3 linked regions of the Drosophila melanogaster genome follow. The gene in region 1 interacts genetically with each later gene. Each region holds a gene or a part of one and is shown in the gene's direction. Other genes may lie near its edges.

Region 1 (3,753 bases):
TTTTGATTCGATTGTGTTTTTCAAACGTTCGGCCATTTCCTCAAAGCAATCCCTCAGATTTTTCACAGCACTTGATCGGCGGTTGACCTGATCTATGACATTGGTGATCTTGATGAGTTTCTCTTGGGATAAGGAACTGGAGGAATGGGTTCTTCCGCTGTCAGGTGCATCCCGATTGAATGTGGAGCTCGATGGATGCTGCTTATTTCTCGAGAGCTCATACTCCAATAGTTCGACTCTCTTCTTCACAGTGTGACTATCAGCACCATTTGGGGACTCGAAGCCAGTCCTTGGATAAACTTGGCTATCCTTCGAGTCAGAGGATCGCGTATTTGTTTTTCGTATTATTGTCACAATGCTGGCAAAACTACTGGTCGTAGGATCATTTTCCGATTGTTCGGAAACCTCCTTGATGGGTTCCAGTTTCCTGGGTCGTAAAATTTGAGTCGAGCACTTCTTGAGCAGTGTAGGTGATTTGCCAGTAGCTAACTTCTTACATGGCTGGCCTCTGTACTCATCCAAAATTACGTTCAGATTCCTACTGTAGTTACGCACATCCGTGAACGGTTCCTTGAGCACTCCAAAGTCCTTCAAGTGGCCATGCATGAGCAGCATCAGGCTATTTCGGGCCAACTTCTCGCTGAGAGGAGCCTTCTCGAATATCTTTATCCATCTGGCCATGATGGGGCGATCCGACTGCTTAGCCCTTGCCTGATCGGCATACTTGTAACTGGCTAGCTGCTGCCTGAAATGGCGATCCAGTAACTCCTCGCTTAGATCCTTCATGGCCACATTCGCATATTCAACCGGAATCAACTGATTTTGTTCCCAAAAAATATTTGTAATTTTAATGATTTGAATAAAATGAAACCGCTTACTCAAATCGGGTAAGGAAATGCGGAAATATAAGTGGGACTAGTGGCCTTACTCGGCGACTGTCACCAAACGTCTCTCAACCGCAGAAAGGGGAGGGGGGTCAAAAGTGGAGCTCAGGGTTTCTCAGAGATGCTTCAAGTGGTGGGCCCACGTCTGGCAACAAGCACAAGGAGCAGCGACACTACACTTTAAACAAAGAATATCAGAGCTTACTTTTCAAAGAACTTAATGGATTTTCTTGTCGAAACACTCTTACCTGGTGCGTCTCTACACTACGTGGACTAAACTGGACTTCACAGTGATAGCTTTTGCATTTACCACTTCATTTAAGAAAACTGTTGTGTATTAATCTAACAACATGTTACCTCCCACAAATAGTTTAATGTCAGTAATTTGCTTATGGCCATTTCGAAACAATGAATTATTAGTGTAACAGCAGTAGCAACAAAACAGTATGCGGTTGCCACGTAAATTTTCATTAGCGCAGCGCGCGTATAAATTAGGAAAATGAAGCAGCAGCAGCGGCAGCAGGCACTTGAGTGCACCGCAACCTCCATCAAGATGCCCCCTGGTGGGGTGAGTGGGTGGTGGAGTGGGTGGCGGATGGGCGGCTTAACCGCAGCAACAACAACAGCGAATGCGATGCGAACCTACATACATACATACATAGGTGCTGCGGCTTGTGGCGAACTGTGAGCAAAAGTTGCAAACGACCGACTGCCTGCATAAATTTATATTGTTAAACATGAGCTAGAAAAAAGCACGCGCAGCCTGTCAAAAGAAAGCAAAAATAAAGAGCAAAGAAATTGCCTGACATGCAAAAAGCGGTTTGGAAAAAGAGTAAAGTAAATGCATAAAGTACATAGCAAAAATAGAATACCTTCGTATAGAGCTGAGTTCGCAGCAATGCCAAAAAAAGACCTCTTACGCAAAAATATAATATGAAAACACTCTCTATTTTACACAAATGTTAAACATTCAAACAAGTTCATAAACAATAATAAGTTTATGCCCCTCCGTTACTTTACCTAAGTGTTAAGTATAAAGAATTTTACCAACTTCATTGACTATCTGGCAACGTCGCGAGCGTTGTATGTTTTAAAGCTTATTTGGTCACACTAAATCATTGGCATCTTAGCTTTTTTTTTTTTTTTTGATGCACGCGTGTATGCTGTGTATTTTTTTTTTTTTGCTATTTTTAAAATGGATTTCGAGAGCAAATACTGCACCAGTCAAGTAAATGGCACTATTACCATAACTACGCGCAAAGTCCTTGATGAAAATCTAAAATCCTTACTGGATGAGGGAAAGGGCGAGGTGAGTGTCTAGTGAAGCATCTAGTCTCAAAAGTTTACGGAGACACTAATACGTTTTTGCTTCTAGCTGTTTCTCTCGTGTATACCGAGGAATCACAGTTGTTCTCCGCGGTGGATTGTGGAAGTGGCCAGCGAACTGGGTGAAGTTTACATTATGCGCTATAAGATTGATTTTTCGGGAAATTCTCGCGGCTACGCCTACTTGCAATATATCAATGTGGACCTCAAGGAATCGGCAATGCAATAGTACGTACTTCGTAATAATTTTCACATAAAACAGCACTAACCCTAATAATCCCAGTCTGCCAATGCGATTCCGACAGCTTTGCATGTGCTTAAGGGTGGAGCCATCGACCAACAATCGCGAGCTGGTGCTCAAAAACGTAGAATCGTCGCTTAGACCATGGCAAGTGTACCAGGAGATGTTGAAGATACATCCCTTTACCATCGTTCGAGTCTACGAGTATCAATTAGACCAGTTCTTCTATATATTTGAGTACCGCAACAACGACTCGGCCGCAAGTGCCCATCAGAGAGTAAGGAATTCGATCAGAAAATTCGGTGAGCATGCGCACATCTCCTGGTTGACTGCGGAGAACATCTTGAGCAGAGCCAGCGGTAGCTTCTGTTTTCAACGGGAAGTAAGCCAAAATCGTACTCGACGCGTTCCTCCCAGACAAAAGGGCTGTTTCAAGTTTTAAATGGAAGTGGTATCAAGTATGTTACTTTATTGGTTCATGCTACCAAATCCATAAGGCTCCAAATGTTTTGTTTGTACTACACGTAAGTAGGACGAAAATGTATAAAATACTTTAATACTTTAGTTATATTTTTTCTATTGTTAAATAAGTTTATAAGTAAAATAAGAGTACTCTTAAATAAGTCAACCATTTAGATATGAATGAAGATGTTTATTGCTTGATTTGTGTAAGTTTTTGTAATACGTGGAATTTGAAAACAAGAATATGTGTTTTGCAAAGTTAATCTCTGATTTTTTAATGAAATTTTAAAGCCAAATATCAAATCACTTTTAGAATGCATACTATACCTTAAAAAAAAACTAACCAAGCGGATTTTGGAATTCCTGTGGCTCTCTGGGCAGTAAATTATGTTGCTGCCCATGCGAATGTAACATAAACTTTCACCAGTTGTTAGGACAGGGGGAAATTATACACAGCATTGTTCCTGGCAAATCCTTTTGGCCCGCCGCTTCTCACTCTGATGAAATGCAGCCGCAGCTTGTTGACTTCATTAACTCTGGGCAAAAACAGCGAGCAGCCATAAAAATAAAAAAAAATAAAAAAAACAACACCGACAGCGCAGCGAAGCTGCAGTTTTTCACATGCAAATTAATGCAGTGTCTTTGGAGTGGCGGAGTGGCAGCCAGGACTTTCAGGGCAATGCGACAACCTGCGGCATAATGCAATTAAATGAGTGCAGCGAGCAGGAGTCGACGCTAGCCTCCGGCTGGCATTGTGTTGGACACGGTGTCTGGGTACCGGGTCTGACTCCAGATTACGGGTCTCCAAAGTGCAATGATCGACGGACGGGAGTGGAGGGA
Region 2 (3,753 bases), 1.2 Mb from region 1:
CCAGCAGCGGCTCAGACAAGTGAGCCGGCGGCGAGCTGGCCTCGTTCACTGCAGCACCAGCACTAGCTGCCCGCGATGCATCCGGCGATTTGGGAAACATCTGTTGCGTGGTGATGTTCTGGTAGTGCTGCTGCTGGCGCTGCTGCATCATCTGCTCCTCCCTCTCGCGATCGCGCTGCGCCTGAACGGCATTCCAGACATCCTTCAGCTCGCCGGAGATATCGCGATCCTTGAGTATTACGGCGTTTCTGGAGATGTATTACATATATTTTTATTCTTGTTTTTAATCGGGCAGTAAACTAATAGTGTTATTATATACCTGACTAATTTCACGCCTGGATTCATAGCCTCCACAAAGTCGCACATCAGCTCCACCATAGCTCGTCGCTCCTCAGGATCTTTGCTGTGACGTCCGGAGTCTTTGAGCACCTCCGGATTGGCCATTACGGCAAAGACAATGGGAGGACTGCGTGGGCTGCCAGGCGGTACCTTAATGAATAAGAACATTAACATAAATAACTAATAAAGGAAACACCGACGTGAATGTTTGAGGACACTTAATCTAAGGAATCTTACCCGCATGCCTCCGTAAAGGGGAATGGGATCGCTGGGCTCCTGCGGTATCACAATGCGCGTCCAGCTGAGGACATTGATGAAGAGCTCCTCGCCCGCCTCCGTGGTGGTGCGGATGCACATGTGGGGCTGTGGCGGATTCTTGAAGTGGCGATAGGCCCGCGAATGTCGGTAGCTGTGCGGCGGCGGTGAGGAGTTCATCAGACTGAGGCCGAGTCCTGTGATGCCATTGTTGCTATTGCCCTCGAGTTCCTGCTGCTGCTGCGGATCCTGGTGCATCTGAAGCTGGGTTTCCGTATCTAAATTATTGTTGTAGCTATTTGTTGTGGTTGCATTTGCATTGATGGCAGTGTTTGTATTTATCTCCTCGCTTTGTGATTGATTTTGTTGTTGTTGCTGGGATTGTTGCTCCTGGGCTGAAGCCTCCGCCTCGAGTTCGGCCGCAGACATGGTTTTGGATTTTATATAACTATTCGGCAGTCTTTAGTTTAATCAGTTTCAATAAGATATCCTTTTGTTTCTCATTCGTTCACTGGGATACGTTTGAATTCGCCATGCGGCGAGTGTGTCGTGCGGCGAATTCGTTAGCCGTGTTTTTCGTCCTCTTTGTTCTACCACGCACTCACACCAAAACACCAGCTCTCTCGCTCTCGCTTACAGGTCGCCTTCATACAACATTATTATTGCTCCTTGGATCCTGGCTGCGTGCCTAACCTGTGACCTTTGGCGTAATTAATGGACTTGCCTGCATATTAGGGCCTACGGCGTATTATACCCCACACAGTTGACACTAATATCCTCCAGAAATTCAAAGTCTTTTTATCTGGCACGCACACGAATGCAAAACACCCTTCTGCCTTCCTACACACGCACAAGTGGGAGTTGGTTGACTACGGGGGAGGTGGGTGAAGAAGAGAAGAGAAGACAAGGTGAAAACATGAAAATGGAAAAGTTCAAAGCGTTTGCGGTGCCACACTTACACATTTCACTGATTTTCATTTATAATAATCACTTTTCCATTGCACCATGCACACAAAAACACACACAAACAAACGGGCGCAGTTACATACTTATGTATATATGTATATATACACACACGATGCGTTTTCCTGACTCGCACTCACATAATTTCCCATTAGAATGGGCAAACAATGCAGGCAGCGGAACGTGTGTGCTGCGCTGATTTTTATATTTAGCTTTTTAGCAGCTTTTCATGGCAGACGGACACACGGAAAACAGCCGATTTTTCCGACAACCCAACATAAACAAAAAACTAATGGGTCAGTGTGGCCAGATGGGGTTGCTGCGCAATTTCAGAGCGTTGCCATTAGACAAGAAACACCAGGGCTGTCGTTACATATGTAAACAAACAATAATTTAAAACTGCATTTAAAAATAAAACAAAAAATTGAATAAATCTTTAATAAATATTAAGCAAAAGGTCATTACAAGTTTATTTCACACAAAGTACGAAATCGATTAATTCCATAATCTAGTTCAACGAACCAGTTCTGCTCATCATCAATCAATTCACGTGCAGCCCTCGTCCAGCCGGTTAATTTTTTTGCACAAGCGCTGGACAGAAAAGTGTAATTAAGCGGCTTAAAACGGGTTTACATTTATAGTATAACTTGTAAATAAACAGTTAAGGATTATAATATTATTGGAATACAAGTTTCCAACGCACAACCAAAGGATTTGGTAGAAAGTCGGCCAGCTTGTCCCGCAAATTTTCCCACAGGGGTGTGTGTATAACAAAATGGCGTCCTCGCAAGTCTCAAACAAATCGGGCTCCGGTTGGCCGCGCCGCGGAAGCCAAGGCCAAGCGGATGCAGCCAGCAGCAATAACAACGGTACCCAGAAGTACACCAACCAGGCGCTAACCATCAATCGCACCATCAACTTGTGGGTACAACACATTTCATTCATAGACGCACATCATAGATCGATCGATTGTTTCAGATACCCCCTTACGAACTACACATTCGGCACCAAGGAGCCGCTCTTTGAGAAGGATCCGTCGGTGCCATCCCGATTCCAGCGGATGCGCGAGGAATTCGACCGGATCGGAATGCGGCGCTCCGTCGAGGGAGTGCTTCTGGTCCACGAGCACGGACTGCCACATGTCTTGCTCCTGCAGCTGGGCACCACGTTCTTCAAATTGCCCGGTGGCGAGCTAAACGCCGGCGAGGATGAGGTCGAGGGCCTCAAGAGATTGCTATCCGAGGTAAGTCAAACGTGGCGCCATAGTTAAATATTGTTATTTGATCTTAACTATCACTACTTTTATTATTTCGTAGACGCTGGGTCGTCAGGACGGCGTAAAGCAGGAGTGGATTGTTGAGGACACGATTGGGAACTGGTGGCGGCCGAACTTTGAGCCACCGCAATATCCATACATTCCGCCGCACATCACCAAGCCCAAGGAGCACAAGCGGCTTTTCCTCGTCCAGCTACATGAAAAGGGTAAATATCCGCAGGGCGTTTTGTAAGTCCCTACGCGTAGGTATAACGAGCACACCGTGTATCCAGAATATCCATCTCTCCATGTACTTTATATAACCTATAGATTGTTTTTGTTTGCCAAAAACCGAATACGCTAACAAACCTCATGTCATATCTTTTCAATGCTGTTTAGATACGGACGGGAACGCCAGTTACGATGTACCCTGAGCAGTTCCATTAGCGCCGTGTGTGTCGTATCTACCCAACTCTAATCTCAAGAGTGCAATGCCATAGAACAACAAATCGAGCAAACAGAACAGATCAAACAGAAAAGAAACAAACAGATCGCAAAAGCTGGCGCAGGCGACTCCTTAGTTAGTTTTGATTCTAGTCCAATTGTACAACATGTCGAAAATCAAATTCAAATTGTATTTTTGCTCAGGACTGAGTGTTGGCATATTTTGTTATTTCCCGATTTTTATCATTCGAAATTCAAAGATTGTTCTTGTACTTAATTTTGTAAATATGTCGACATACTTGTGAGACTGAGCGCAGCAATGTTATCCTTCTATTTACATATTTTATTTATTTCCTAGCTTCTATTCTTACTTTTGTGAAGTGTCATGTGTCGTTCATCTTAAGGTTGTTGTGTATTTATCGAAAGCAATCCAATCCATCGGGCAGGCAGCAGAAGAGCATTGTAACGTTGCTGGCTGTCGCAGTCATGTGCCCAAA
Region 3 (3,753 bases), on another chromosome or scaffold:
GCACCCTCCGCCGCTTCCGCGATCGTTACTAGTTTGGGAGCATCCTCCGCGGCTGGAATCTCCGCGGGTGGAATCTCCTCGGCATTGTCTATGGGGGCAGCCTCTTCTGGTGCATTTTCAGCCATCTCTGTGCAATTGAAGTCGTTTCAATAACGTAAATGTTTTAAATGTTTTGGGTTTCTTTTTGGTATATACATAAGTTGTTATGTTTGCTGTTTGCCTAAAATTATTAACTGCTGCTTGAGATTAGAATCAATGGCTGTTGGGTTTTGTCTTATATAGTACATTTTATTGCTATCACAAGTTAATCATACACATATACCGTCGGAAAAAACAAACTAAAATTCAATTGTCTGTAATGGAGTTTAATGCAAGCTCTATCTTTGGCCAAATCGCGGTGGCGGGTCACTAGTTGAAGGCGTAGAGCAGCAGCAAGATCACACAGAAGCCAATAACTGCTCCCAGGATCAGCGAATCGCGTCGCTTTTTAATGTTGATGCGCTGAATGAGACTGTGCATATACAACAAATAATTGGATAAGTAAATATGCATAAATTGAATTGAGAACTCGTCTGTCTCACCTGGAAATCAGTGGGAATCGATTGGAGATATCGTTAAAGCGGGTCTGCAGCCGCTTGAATGCTTGTCGCTGGGCGTGAAGATGGTCACGCGTCTCAATCGCGATATTTATCTGATCGTTGACCAAGTGACTGGCGCTGTTGAGGTGCCCGCTCTCCTTCAGGTACATTTCTCGCCGGTTTAGGCCCGAGATGGATGGACTGCCGGAGCTGGTGGCCAACCCTGAGCCACGAAGCAGCTCCTCTCGCTCGATTCGCATTGTGTGATTGGCGCAGATCTTATTGAACTCCTGGCGATACCCCTGCAGGATCTCTCGATGCCTCTGCAGTGTGTGCATGGCGGCTGCTCCAGAGGCGGGCAAATCGGACATGGACTCATTTAGCGAGGATAGCTGCAATTAAGAAGGATGAAATAGAAATGAAATCCTTCTATTCTATAGAAATTCTATAGATATGGGAATTGCCTAAAAAACGTAGATAACTTAACAAGCAAAACAATTTGAACATTTTGTGCTTCAGTCGGTGACTCATTCATTACTTGGAATTATCTATTAAAGTATTTATCAAATGGAATTCATTTAGCGAATTCAAAGAGGAATTCTTAAACATTTTCTTTTAAAGAATTTAGCAAAGATCAGAGCATAAAAAAAACTCGAATAATAAAGTATAATATATATACAGATTCATAAAAAATTGGAAAGTGATGGAATGTTTTCAATATATATAAGTTAATCGTGGCAGTTTTTCAATTGTGTGCTCAATTCTGCCAATTAAATTATGATTTTTGGGAAGGCTTAGTGGGAAATTAGTAATTCATAGTAGCACAAAGCCGGTGGCACAGAAATTTGCTTAATAAATAAATAAGGAATCCGCACTACATTGTTTCGGGTTTAATCCCTGCACCATCGCATGGCATTGGGTCACATATCGCACCTTCTCCAGCATTTGCTCGATCTCCTCCGACAGCGAATCGAAGACGTGCTCGCCCAGGAGCGGCGATGTGTCAACGCCTCCTAGTCCTCCACTTCCACCTCCTCCACTGCCAGCTCCGATTTTGCTGAATGCCACCAGCTTCAGGTCGATCTCGTTTTCCAGGCTCCGCGCCTGCTTCCTGAGCACTGTGCGGGAGGTCGAGAGGAGAGATAGCTTATATGGAAGGTAACCATTAAGTCCCACTGCTCACCATCGTAGCTGGATCCTCCCATTTGTCAAAAATAGTTTTCCTTTATTTGTTCGACTTTCGTGTGGCAATCGGTGTGACCAGGTCAGGCGGGGCCCAAGTGGAATGAGTTGAGAGTATCGGGAAAGATTAATAGCCAGATTTAATCTAGGCCCTACTTAATGAACAAATGTTTACGAGAAAATTAAATTGTCCTAATAACTTAATGTTAATGTAAAAGGAAAAAGTACAATGTTCTTTTCCAGCCCTTGTGTGAACAGGTCCATACCGGCAGTCATCAAACTTTGGTCACACTGCCGTGCACAGCGTTTTGTTGCCGGCGATTTGTAAAAAAGTTTGTTATTGATTACATTATTTTAGACATCATGACGCAGGCAACAGGTGATGCACGCATGCCAGACGAGGAAAGCGACCTGCTGCAGATCAAGCCACTGTAAGGAATCTTGATTTAAACCAGATAGAAGCTCAAGGGTAACGCTTATATTTCAGTGGTGCTGGCCAGGAAGTGGGACGCTCCTGCATCATGTTGGAATTTAAGGGCAAGAAGATAATGCTGGACTGCGGAATCCATCCGGGATTGTCCGGCATGGATGCCCTGCCCTACGTAGATCTAATAGAGGCGGATGAGATTGATCTGCTGTTTATATCACAGTAAGTACTGCGGCGATTAAATGGGCATTGAACTTTTAATGGTGAATGCTTATATTTATCAGTTTCCACTTGGATCACTGCGGTGCCTTGCCTTGGTTTCTCATGAAGACCAGCTTTAAAGGCCGCTGCTTTATGACCCATGCCACGAAAGCCATTTACCGATGGATGCTGTCCGATTACATCAAGATCAGTAACATATCCACCGAACAGATGCTATACACGGAAGCCGATCTGGAGGCCTCCATGGAGAAGATCGAGACGATCAATTTCCACGAGGAGCGCGATGTGATGGGCGTACGCTTTTGTGCCTATATTGCTGGTCATGTTTTGGGTGCCGCCATGTTCATGATCGAGATTGCTGGCATCAAGATCTTGTATACTGGTGACTTTTCGCGCCAGGAGGATCGACATTTGATGGCTGCCGAAGTGCCACCGATGAAGCCGGATGTTCTTATCACAGAGTCCACCTACGGCACTCACATTCACGAGAAAAGAGAGGATCGAGAGAATCGATTTACCTCGCTGGTGCAGAAAATTGTTCAGCAAGGCGGGAGATGCTTAATTCCAGTATTTGCTTTGGGCCGTGCCCAAGAACTGCTACTTATTCTGGATGAATTCTGGTCGCAGAACCCGGATCTGCACGAGATTCCCATCTACTATGCCTCCTCTTTGGCCAAGAAGTGCATGGCTGTCTACCAGACGTACATCAATGCTATGAACGATCGAATTCGACGACAGATAGCTGTGAACAATCCCTTCGTTTTCCGCCACATTTCCAACCTGAAGGGTATCGATCACTTCGAGGATATCGGACCCTGCGTAATCATGGCGTCGCCGGGTATGATGCAGTCGGGATTGTCGCGAGAGCTCTTCGAGAGCTGGTGCACAGATCCCAAGAACGGAGTGATTATAGCCGGTTACTGCGTGGAGGGCACTTTGGCCAAAGCCGTTCTCTCCGAGCCGGAGGAGATCACCACACTGTCGGGCCAGAAGCTGCCGCTCAACATGTCCGTCGACTACATATCGTTTTCGGCTCACACGGACTACCAGCAGACCAGTGAATTCATCCGCCTACTAAAGCCAACGCATGTCGTGCTCGTCCACGGCGAGCAGAACGAGATGTCGCGTCTGAAGTTGGCCCTGCAGCGGGAATACGAAGCAGATGCAAGCACGGATATAAAATTCTACAACCCGCGAAACACACATGCCGTGGATCTTTATTTCCGTGGCGAGAAAACCGCCAAGGTGATGGGAAGCCTCGCAGCCAAGAACTCGGAGGTGGGAAGCAAACTCTCAGGTGTTCTGGTTAAGCGCGACTTTAAGTACCACCTCTTGGCTCCTTCT

What was found.
Region 2: of tut (region 1) and Cpsf5, changing one enhances a phenotype caused by changing the other (phenotypic enhancement), as found in Drosophila melanogaster (one study listed by BioGRID).
Region 3: of tut (region 1) and Cpsf73, changing one enhances a phenotype caused by changing the other (phenotypic enhancement), as found in Drosophila melanogaster (one study listed by BioGRID).

The regions. Positions count from the first base shown.
Region 1 is NT_037436.4:8,208,998-8,212,750, reverse strand, and holds tut (tumorous testis), read left to right. Parts: upstream 1-2,007; 5' UTR 2,008-2,079; coding exon 2,080-2,193; intron 2,194-2,259; coding exon 2,260-2,438; intron 2,439-2,493; coding exon 2,494-2,893; 3' UTR 2,894-3,174; downstream 3,175-3,753. Other genes in the region: CG8006 (uncharacterized protein), read right to left, coding at 1-786. UniProt on the Drosophila melanogaster protein: RNA binding protein that forms a complex with bam and bgcn, involved in 3'UTR-dependent regulation of a subset of mRNAs. Preferentially binds a long isoform of mei-P26 transcripts.
Region 2 is NT_037436.4:9,408,944-9,412,696, forward strand, and holds the start of Cpsf5 (cleavage and polyadenylation specific factor 5), read left to right. Parts: upstream 1-2,094; 5' UTR 2,095-2,332; coding exon 2,333-2,478; intron 2,479-2,535; coding exon 2,536-2,800; intron 2,801-2,873; coding exon 2,874-3,039; intron 3,040-3,211; coding exon of another isoform or gene 3,212-3,246; exon of another isoform or gene 3,247-3,753. Other genes in the region: CG4022 (uncharacterized protein), read right to left, coding at 1-248, 320-489, 577-1,023.
Region 3 is NT_033777.3:18,661,826-18,665,578, reverse strand, and holds the start of Cpsf73 (cleavage and polyadenylation specificity factor 73), read left to right. Parts: upstream 1-2,026; 5' UTR 2,027-2,123; coding exon 2,124-2,191; intron 2,192-2,247; coding exon 2,248-2,409; intron 2,410-2,471; coding exon 2,472-3,753. Other genes in the region: CG31231 (uncharacterized protein), read right to left, coding at 1-125; Gos28 (golgi SNARE, 28 kDa), read right to left, coding at 409-511, 582-970, 1,512-1,696, 1,762-1,783. UniProt on the Drosophila melanogaster protein: Component of the cleavage and polyadenylation specificity factor (CPSF) complex that plays a key role in pre-mRNA 3'-end formation, recognizing the AAUAAA signal sequence and interacting with poly(A) polymerase and other factors to bring about cleavage and poly(A) addition.